Coturnix japonica: one gene and its partner. The protein of the gene in region 2 binds, or shares a complex with, the protein of the main gene of each other region. Links are inferred from orthologs where the notes say so. Each region holds a gene or a part of one and is shown on either strand. Other genes may lie near its edges.

Evidence for each region. Proteins that work in one complex are often made in the same cells at the same time.
Region 1: the proteins of PLXNB1 (region 2) and SEMA4D are in contact, whole or in part, in a crystal structure (PDB 3OL2), measured with the Homo sapiens proteins. The link is inferred for Coturnix japonica from reciprocal best matches to the Homo sapiens genes PLXNB1 and SEMA4D. Residues at the interface, in NP_001123554.1 of Homo sapiens: Leu80, Pro81, Pro82, Glu87, Arg136, Pro137, Gly138, Asp139, Thr140, Tyr142, Gly178, Glu202, Lys205, Ala207, Gly209, Arg210, Ser212, Glu213, Arg235, Arg242, Asp359, Val360, Asn361, Ser362, Leu367, Pro368, Thr371, Tyr375, Ser379, Asp380; in NP_001358123.1 of Homo sapiens: Glu99, Lys100, Gly101, Phe158, Tyr179, Phe181, Leu182, Gly183, Ser184, Arg198, Tyr201, Ile203, Glu208, Val240, Leu264, Arg265, Thr266, Leu267, Gln268, Lys270, Thr347, Gln350, Ser351, His352, Thr353, Asp388, Gln392, Lys395.

The regions. Positions count from the first base shown.
Region 1 is NC_029547.1:38,971,424-38,976,164, reverse strand, and holds part of SEMA4D (semaphorin-4D), read left to right. Parts: intron 1-572; coding exon 573-724; intron 725-2,434; coding exon 2,435-2,610; intron 2,611-2,716; coding exon 2,717-2,873; intron 2,874-3,407; coding exon 3,408-3,630; intron 3,631-4,741. UniProt on the Homo sapiens protein: Cell surface receptor for PLXNB1 and PLXNB2 that plays an important role in cell-cell signaling. Regulates GABAergic synapse development. Promotes the development of inhibitory synapses in a PLXNB1-dependent manner.
Region 2 is NC_029527.1:8,806,039-8,811,574, forward strand, and holds the start of PLXNB1 (plexin-B1), read left to right. Parts: upstream 1-2,320; 5' UTR 2,321-2,353; intron 2,354-2,566; exon of another isoform or gene 2,567-2,618; intron 2,619-5,536. UniProt on the Homo sapiens protein: Receptor for SEMA4D. Plays a role in GABAergic synapse development. Mediates SEMA4A- and SEMA4D-dependent inhibitory synapse development. Plays a role in RHOA activation and subsequent changes of the actin cytoskeleton.

The sequences.
Region 1 (4,741 bases), on a different chromosome or scaffold from region 2:
AAGGACAACAGTGAGAGTATGCATGTTTAAAAACCAGTGGGGTTTGGGAGAGTGGTTAGTAGTTTTAGATTTGTTACAGTTTTTCTGTGGCACTGTGTGGTTTTCCTATGTGTCCAGCCACATAGGAAAACTGGTAGCTGACCAGCCCTGGCAAATTATTGCTTGTATGTTTTAGCTAATTCTATCCTTAAATATGAATGAACAGAAATAAACAATGTGGCTTTTCTTAAGTTTGCATCAGGAGGGAGAGGTGGGCAGTGGAGGATAGATCCAGACCTATCAGAAAACCCATGTTTGAATGTAGGTGTAAAATGAGCAGTAATGAGATACAATAGATAAAGAAGTATTAGAGATCTTTAAGGTATGGTATGTTAAATAGCTGGGTTTTTTTCCTCCACTGTTGTACTGTTTTAGAAGTGTTATCATGGGCTCAACAGTGTAGGCAGATCAGTAACTGAAGAACAGATAAATGCATTGTGAAGTTTGGGAGAAGAAAATTCCTAGAAAGTGTTCAAGAAAATAAAGTTAAAAGAGTTGTTTATAAAGTAGAACTATTCTCTTTGTATTTGTAGAGCCAAATTTTGTTTTTGCTGATGTGGTAAGAGCAGATCAAAACAGCACAGATGGAGAAGATGACAAGATATACTTCTTTTTCACCGAGGTGTCTGTGGAATATGAATTTGTTGGAAAACTTATGATTCCAAGAATAGCTAGAGTGTGCAAGGTGGGACATGGTTCAATCGCCTTTTACTAATTACAGTAGATTTTGTTTTTAGTGGAAAAAAAAATTACATTTATTGTAAATTAAATGGAAATGGTTTAACTTCATTTCACTGAAACAGCAGTTTTAACCAGTTTGTCATAACTGACAATGTGTCTTTCTTGCTTTAGAAACTAATACTTGACTTAATTTAATTAACAGTGAAATTTCAGTATGTGTGAGGGTTCTGTCCTCTCCTGGGAGGTGTTGGAGAATAACAATGGTTAAAAAAAAAAAAAAAAAAAAAAAAGACTCTTGATTCTGTTTTATTTTTTAAACTGAAAATGTAATTATGGTCCCAGAGGGGGGGGGGGGGGATGAAAAAAAAGAAAAAAGGCTTAAGTTGCTGTTGAGCAGATAGGAAGTGTGTCATATTCAAGTTATTCTCAGGCAGAAGCATGTAAGGAAGATCATTTTATCATTTTTTCTGTAGTCACAGCTACTTACAGCAGATGGGACTTCTGTGGTGCTGCCAGAGCCACAAACAAGCAGTCTGCCGCACTTAGTGTGATTAAACCTTAATTATTTTGGTTCAATCAAGTAGTATTGGTTAAAAATCTTGCTAATGGAAGAAGATATTTTTCAAGTACAAAATATCCTTTCCGTTGGAGTGTTATCACCTAGCCATTTCATTTTGATTAAGTTGAAATGTTTTATTCTAACTTTTCTATATTTAAATATGGAAGTTGAGATATCAATAACAAGTTAGTGCCTTTGAAATTTCTATTAAATAATCTGCTGGAGGTAGCTTTACATGGGACTTAATATTATAGCCCTCTGCCCACATACAGCTTGTGCGCTTTTCAGAACAGGAGTATCACAGAACATGAGAGATGTATTGCTTCTGCTTGATAATAAAAGGAATCAATGGCAGATTGCAGTTCGAAAGGAATTTTTACTTAATTTTTACTTAGATCTACTTAAACTTTCAGTTTTTCTTCAGTTCTTTACATGAAAGCTCTGGATAATGAACAAAAACTATTAACAGTGCCCAAATATGCCTGTTTTTGTAAAGAAATAACAGAGCTAGAACTCATAAACTAAATTTTTTGAAGCATTTCTAGTCTGGTAAAAGATATCTTTCAGTACTACAGATCCTTCGTAAACATCATAACTGCCCACAGGAATAGGCCAATGGTGCATTTTTTTTCCTAGTGGAATTGTTAATGTCAGGCATCTTAAGTGTATATTTCAAAATTACAGTAGAAATCATTTGTGTTTGGATGTCAAAGAACAAATGAGCTGTTGCTGATTTATGTTAAAGGATGTGTATAGTGCCTCCATGTTTATTTTAATTGTTACAGTAGGCATTTGTGTTTTATAAAGTTACATTACTGATCTCTATTTTTCAAGTACTGAAGAACAGTTCTTTTAGAAGTCCAGTGTCTCATCTTATTTCTAGATGTTTACAAAAACCATTCTGCGTTATTTCTGTTGACTCCAATAAGTAAATTATTAACTTCTGTGTCTCCCTTACTTTTATGTATATGAGCATATTTGCAGTTTTTAATGTTGCTGTAGATGAAATGTTGAAGAAGTATAGTAATTAGAGGAGTTCAAATACAGTTAGCAAATAGAAGAAAAAAGTAGTTTGGTAGCTTTGTAGCTGTGGTTCTTAAGTACAAAACTGCTGCCTTCATAGACACTTATCTTTTTTTTCCCCAATGCCAAAAGAGGGACCAAGGAGGACTGAGGACTTTGCAAAAAAAATGGACTTCTTTTCTCAAGGCCAGATTGATATGCACCATTCCAGACAGGAATTTAATTTTCAATATTATCAATGATGTTTTTATTCTGAAGTCTCCAACCCTGAAGGAACCAGTGATATATGGAGTCTTTACCCCACAGCTGTAAGTGTGCTATTACAGTATTTCCCTGGATGAGTAGTTTTGATCTCAGCTGTTTGTTAAATCAAGTAATTACTCCTGTGATTTTTTTTTCCCCCTATATTTTTAGGAATAATGTGGGACTGTCAGCCGTTTGTGCCTACAATTTGTCTGCTGTAGAAGAAGTTTTCTCAAAAGGGAAGTATATGCAGAGTGCTACAGTAGAACAGTCCCATACTAAGTGGGTACGGTACAATGGGGAGATTCCTAACCCTCGACCTGGTGCAGTAAGTTTCTGTAATTTTGGGTATGATGCTCAGGAGTAAAGAAACTAGAAAAGCAAACAAACAAACAAACAAACAAAACCAAACAATAAAAACACAAAAAGCCCTACTAATGCGTACTATTAGATTGCTGTGATCTGGATGCTTTGTATTGTAAAGATTTGCTGAAAAACACTTCAAGTGATTTATTTTAAAGCTTGTATCTGTTGTTTGTTTGTTTTGTTTTGTTTGTTTGTTTGTTTGTTTAATTTACCATACAGTTAATTGTAGTGTTTGTGTTTTCCTTATTTCAATACTAAATTAATGTATTTTCCTATAATATATTTTGGGTCCAAATAAAAATGAAATATGAACCATTTGCTTAGAGATCAGCATATTACAGAAGCCAAGGTGCTGCGATACTTGAGTGCCTTCTAGGCTTGGATGAGTATAATGTATAGTTATGTCTTTATGTGCCGAAGAAAATGCATGTACCTGCTGCTAGGATATAATTTGCTTTTCTCTATATGATTTCTTTCTTTTGTTTTTAAATAATAGTGTATAAACAGTGAAGCCAGAGCCTTGAACTACATGACTTCTCTGAACTTACCAGACAAAACATTGCAGTTTGTTAAAGACCATCCACTAATGGATGATTCAGTAACTCCAGTGGGAGACAGACCCCGCCTTGTAAAACGAGATGTGAAATATACCCAGATTGTAGTAGACAGAGTCAGAGCACTCAATGGTACAATATATGATGTTATGTTCATCAGTACAGGTAAGTTCTGCATAACATTCTTTTTAATAATGGTACTTATTCTTCAGGCAATGTGCTCTAATGGAAACTCAAAATATTTACAGTATTTTTGCAGCATGTGATATTTTCATAGAAAAACAGGGAGCCACAATATGTACATGGAGAACCTTGCTTGCTTTGAGGGGCTTTTGCAGGAGGAGATCAGAAAAAAAAACCAAAACCCTTAATCAACAACATTGACAGTGTACCCTTCAGCAAATTTGCTGATGACACCAAGCCGAGTGAGGCAGTTGACACAATAGAAGTGGAGGGATGCCATCTACAGGTACCTGAGTAGGCTTGGAAAGTGGGCAGATGAGAATCTAATGAGGTTTAACAGAGCCAAATGCAAGATACTGCAATTGGGTCGAGGCAGTCCCAGGTATGTGTGCAGACTGGGAAAACTCATGGAAAGCATCCCTGCAGAGAAGAACTTGGGGATCTGTTGCAGTGTGTTCTTGCAGCCTGGAAGGCCAATAGTATCCCAGGTTGCATTGAAAGAGGGGTGGCCAGTGGGTTGAGAGTTGAGGATGGTTGCCTCTCTCTACTGTGCCCTCCTGAGGTCCCATTTATAGTACAGTGCCCAAGTAAGGGGGCCCCAGTACAGGGAAGATGTGAAACTATATCAGCAGGTCCAGAGAAGGGCCATGAAGATGCTTAAAGGGCTGGAGCACTTCTCCTATGAAGAAAAGTTGAGGAAGTTGAGCTTGTACTAAAAGGGAGCTTACAAGCAGGAGGGTGACCAACTTTTTGCATGATCTAAAAGTGATAGGATGAGGAGGATAGGATTTGAACTCAAAAGGGGGAGATTGTATGTCAGATGTTACTCAGAAATCTTTTACTCAGAGGGCAGTGAGGCACTGACACAGGCTGCCCAGAGGAATTGTCAGTGCCCCATCCCTGGAAGCATTCAGGGTCAGGTGTGATGGCACCCTGGGCAGGAGCAGACTGATCTAGTGGGTTCCAGGCCTGTCTATGGCAGGGGGTTGGAACTGGATGATCTTTAAGATACCATCCAACCTAAGCCGTTCTGCAAACTGCAGAAACATTCACAAAATAATCCCTGAAAGCCATTCTTCATTTCAGAAGGCCT
Region 2 (5,536 bases):
CAGAGAAAGGCAGTGCAGTTTCACGTTATTTCCGCTGCTAACCAAGACACAGAAGAGGGAACAAGTAACAGCAACAGGAAGCCTGCGAGTGGACAATGACTATAGAAAAATGAATGGCAGTTGTCTGAACTTGGCTCCTGATGAGCTATTCTGAGTTCTTGCTGCTCCATGAGAAGCCACTCTTAAGTGAAGAGCAAACAGCCTAGCTAGTGGCTATGGAAAATACATGGCATGAGGTCACTGCTGCCTTGTAACAGTAGGTGCTTTCTGAAGAGAACTTGCCATTTATTCCACAGGGGAAAGGAATATCAAACACTGCTTATGAATGCAAAACAAAGGCGACTGTATGTGGTATCACCGTCAGTACGTGTCTGTTTATCAGTCATGGTTTGAATGTTCCGACATCCTGATTGGAAGCTGCAGGTGTTCCTGTTGATCTGGTTGTAGCTATGTTTGGCAAAGATGTTTTCTTGCATAGAAAACCTTCTAAAAACAAATACTTCCTTCTGTGTGGTACTGAGGAGCAATAAACCAACCTTCTGCCCGCCCCTGGATCGCTGCTGTAGATGCAGCTCATGGCCAGGAGCGATAGACAGGACTCACTCGTGATTCCTGAACCAGTTTCATCCCCTGCTCGGAGGGGAGGAAGAGCAAGAAGGAAATCAAAAGGGGTATAAGCAGCTGCTGGTCTTGTGATTACCACAACTGTTACATAAGAAAACTCAGATAACCTGCTTAGAGGCAGCTGCGAGCAGGGGCTTCCAGAGGGGAGGATCCTGTATGGATTTGAATGGATAAAAGAAAAACAACTGTAGAAGTGGGAATCAGAAGCTGCTGAATGGACAAATTAGTGCCGTTTTCAGCCGTGCCCTGCCCGAAAACCGGCTCTGATGGTCGTTCTGGGAGCAGGATCGCTGTGCAAAGCTCCTTCCTGCAGAGGGAGCGCGTCCCCCTGCACCGCCTGGGATGCGCCCTGACTGCAGGGGGGTGCAGCCCCCCAGCACGGCTTCCTTTTGCAGCGTGCTCTCCCAGCTGCGATGGGTTGGGTTGGGTTGGGTTGGTTTGCTGCTTTATAAGTAAAGCTTTTCAGTGCATGTCTTAGGGCTTTTTTTTTTGTTAAGGCAGATTGAAGGGGCTGCAGGTCGGGACTGGCTCTGGAGGAAAGGCAGGCAGGGGATTAGTGCCTTGAGTCAGGAATGGCTTGGAGCAAAGGGAAAATAGACGTGTTTTTGTTACGCTCTTAGTCACCAAAGCTGGATTTTGGTGGAAGGTCGAATGTCTGATTCGTCGGGTTGGTGACGAGTTGGGTGAATGAGCCCTAACCCTGCAGCCATACAGAGGTGGGAGTGGGGCAGTAGGGTGGGTTCCTCGGCCTGGGTGAGGAGCGGTGATGCTGGGTGTCCCTACAAAGTCCTTCCTATGTGGGTCCCACCCCGTCCCTGTGCCCATGGCCATCATTTCTCCCTCGGAAAGCAGCACTTGTTGGGGTGGGAGCAGGAGATGGGCGACACAGCGTAACAAAGAGCGGATGTTCAGTGACACTGCGGGACATAGGGACCGTACCAACAGCGATCCTCTGAAATGTCAGCAATGCACGTGGGAGGGAAGCGTGCCCGGCCCTTCAGAGAGCAGCTTTGTGCCTCCAGCGGAGCAATTCCCCCAGCAAACAACCGGCAGCGATGGGCGAGCGGCTTATTCTGTTCCAATTCCTCCTCCCTGGATGCAGCCCGTCCTTTGTGTGGCCTTTCCGCACATCTGCCCGCATCAGCTCCATCAGGTCTTTGTCACCGCGCTCCGTCCACCTGCAGCGTGTCCCAGCCGGCAGCACGGTGGTCACGGTGTAGACACAAACACGGGAGCATTAACGGCGATGCCGTGCGGAGCATCTACCGACGGAGCTTTGTTCCGTCCGTCCGTCCCCGTGTGCGAACCGCGTTCGGCTCGTGCCACGTTTCGCTTCTGTGCCGCCGTCCCCGGGGCTGCAGATAACGGCGCTTTTGTTCCGATCCCGGTTTCCCAAACGCAGAGCGGGGCAGTGCCGGCACCGCGGCCACCTGCAGCTGCGGGGCCGTGCTCCGTGCAGCCGGGACCGACACAAAGCTGACCCGCGGCTCCTCCGCCCCGCTCCCGGTGCAGACCCGGCCCGACCCCCTGCTGCCGGCAGCCAATGGCGGCTTGTTGCTGTCGGCGGTGTTGGGGGGGCGTCCCGGCCTCCGCTCGGACCCCGCGGGACGGGAGGGGGGCGCGGCCTCGGCGTGCGGCGGGCTGCGATTGGGTGGGGGCGGGGCCGGCGCTGCGCGGCTCGGTGCGGGCGGAGCGGAGCGGCGGGGAGCGGAGCGGAGCGGGGCGGCAGGTGAGGGTGAGGGGCGGCGCGGACCGCGGGGGTCGCGGTGGGGGGGGGGCACCGCCGGTACTGGGTGTGAACGGGCCCGGGGCGGGGGGATGCTGACGAGGCGGGGCCGGGGGGCGGCGGCAGGTGCGGCCCCGGGGCAGCGCTTTGTCTCCGCGTGGGGGATGGGCGCGGCCCCGCGGGGAGCGGAGCGCGGTGGGGCCGCCCGGGGCCGTCCGTTCAGCGGCGAATCCCACCCCGGGACCAGCACCGCGCCCGGCGGCGAAACGTGCGTCCCGGTGCGGTGGGAGGGGGGTGGGGAGCTCCGGTAGCGGAGTCCCGCGGCGGGGGGAGGTAGCGGGGCGGTCCCGGTGGGAAAGGTGGGAGCGGGACTGGGCCGTGCCGCTCGGAGGGTCGGAGCCGGCATCGTAGCGGCTGGAAGGACCGAAAGGGGCGCGGATGGCCCGGGCCCGATAGGTGCTGGGGCGGCTGGAGCGCTGAAGTCTCCGGCACCGCTCCTGGGACCGCCGGACCGTGCCCGGCTCGCTCCGCGGTTAGACCCGCTTTGCTGACTTCTCCGGTACCGGTGGCACGCGGCAGGAGGTGGCTCCGTGACGGGCAGCTCCGGTACGGGCAGGCCGTGTGCTCCACGCTGGGGCTGTGCCCTCTCCTTCCCCCAGCCCCGCACCAGGAGCCCGTTGTGCCGGTGCCATCGGAGCTCTTCCCGTCGGAACTTCCTGCGCTCGGTGTTGCCCGGTACGGCGCTGATCGCGGTGTGTTCGGTTCGGGAGTCGCCGTTTGAATGGAGGCTGCCGTGATGCGCTTTGTGTATGAAATAGAGGAGTCAGCGAGTGCTGCGTTAATGATGTCCCTGTGTGCTTGAGGTCGGCAGCCGAGCTGGGGCTGGAGGTGTTGCTGTGGGTCAGGAGGAGGTTGGAGCACTGTCCTGTGTTCTGCGAGGAATGGGTGTTCCCACCGACGGAGCTCGGAGTGGTACAAGTGCTGATGGGTCGGTTTGGAGCCTGGGATGTCTGGCAGAGCTGGGATCTGCAGGGCAGGGGCTGGGCTTGGCTGCGGTCGGGCCATAAAGCTCACAGATCGCAGGGCCACCTATGGAATTTTGTCTTTAAAGGTCTTCCAACATGTGAAAAGAGTTAGGTTAGTAATACGATTAACAATATTTAATCAGATTAAAATGACCAGCATAACTCTCTCGAGAAAGGTGGGGCGCAGACTGTCAGTGGCTGAGCTGTTCCCTCTGCTTTGTGCCGGGGTGAGGAGGGTCCTCTGAGTGCCGTGATGGGACCCAATGCACCAGAGAGGGTCCGTGCTGTGGGATGGGGCTGCCAGCAGAGGTGCCTACCCAGGGGTGAAGCCTGGCTCTGTGCAACAGGAAAGGAACTGATGCTGCACCCGGAGCAGTGCTGGGTATGGGCACGGCATGCTTTGTGCTGCAGGGTCACCTGCTGAGGGGACGTTCAGAAGGAGGTGAGGCAGCCCCAGTCCTTCTTGCTTCTCAGAGCAAACCAGAAGGACTTCAGCTTCTCCTCCTCCCTCATGCACCTGGGCGCAATGGGAGCAGAGCTGGAGCCTTCCTGTTGCTCTTTGGTGTAGCCTTGTGTTTGATGCTCATCCATCTGTGGCTCCTTCGTTACCTATTGCAGAATTACTGAATAGATTCATCTTTTGCTGCTCGTCAAAGCCATGGGGGAGCTGCTTCTGCCTCGGTGGGAACGTGCCAGCTGGCTCTCACTGTGCTGGTATCGTTTTCCTTATCCTGACATCTCAGTCATCTCTGACCTGGTGGCTGTGGTGGTCTCTTTGCAGGAGGTTTGTGTTGCTCTTTATCTGAATGTTGTCCTGTTTACCCTCAGTGCTGGCAGGGAATCCTTAGAGAGCACAGGCATGTGCTTCCTGGGCTCTCCCCAGAGCCATACAGGCATGGCATTGGTGCTGTGCAGCCATCCCCCTGCCCCATAGCATGGGCTGCGGGCACTGGCACTGCAGTATTGCTGAGGATGCACCGACCTGTGCCGACACGTGCTGCCACTGCCAGGAGAAGCACAGGGGTTTGCTGTGATCTCTGGAAGAGCTGCTGAAGTAAGGACTTGTTTTCGCTGCTAATAATTTATATATATATTTTTTAGCCAAGATTAACTGAGATCAGAGTGATTTTTGAGGTTACAGGAAGCAATTTAGGTCTCCATGTCATTAACTCCAAGCTGACGCTGCCTCCCGATGCTTGTGGAAAAAAAGGGAAAGGAACAGATGGTGCCAGCTTAGGTGGATTTTATTTTTGCCTCCCATTTGGTGGAAGGTAAAGTCGTTTCGATTCAGAATCGCTTTTAAAGCGAGGATACAACTTTCTAACCTCTTATGCCACCCCCCTCAGAAAAGAAAAGGAGGGGAGAGCGAAGTGCAGCTGGGCTTTGTGTAGGCAGGATCTGATAGGAAGGTTTTCGAAGTTGGTTGAAAATAGGAGGTGAATCTTCAAATGGTTCAGATCCGAAGGAAATTCCCAGATGCCAGACTTTAATTGCACGTGAACTTTACTTGTTTGCTTGCAGTATAAACACTGCGAGCGCTGCAAAGAGTGCTTCTCCTGTGCCTGGCAAGTGGGTGAGTCTCACATTGCTTTTGGCTTTGAAGTTTAACTTTGGAATGGCGCGGAGTGGGTGGGCTGAGCTCCTGCAGCCTCAGCTCTGCACCAGAGCTTCTGCTTTCAAACCCACCCCCTGCCCCATAGCAGACCTCTGTTAGAAAATGGTGCTTGTTTCCTAAAGCAGATGGTACCGTTTTATCTTGCTCCTTGTGTCTGTTCCCATTCATCTCATGTCTGAGGTCTTTTGTCCTTGCTGGGGGGCTGTAGGTGTCATGACTCAGGGTGAAGCTGTTGCAGCAGGACGCTGCTTGCTGGGCTCTGTGCTTCAGGGAGGCAGAGGAAGGCTGTGCCTGGCACTGCGGGGGGGGCTGGTTGTGTTTAGGCATCTGTCTGTGCTGCTGGAACGAGCTTTCTGGCCAAATTACATTTAGCTCTATAAATAGAGTGGGTGTATTTGACGTCTTTCCCCACTGTAATCTTTCTGCAAATTACAGTGTTAGCAGAAGTGTGTTCAGCTTAAGGTTTCTACACATGTGTGTGTCCCAAATGATTTTTGTTTTGAACACTTCCCATAGCTCTCCTGTCCTGAGCTGTATTGCACTTTG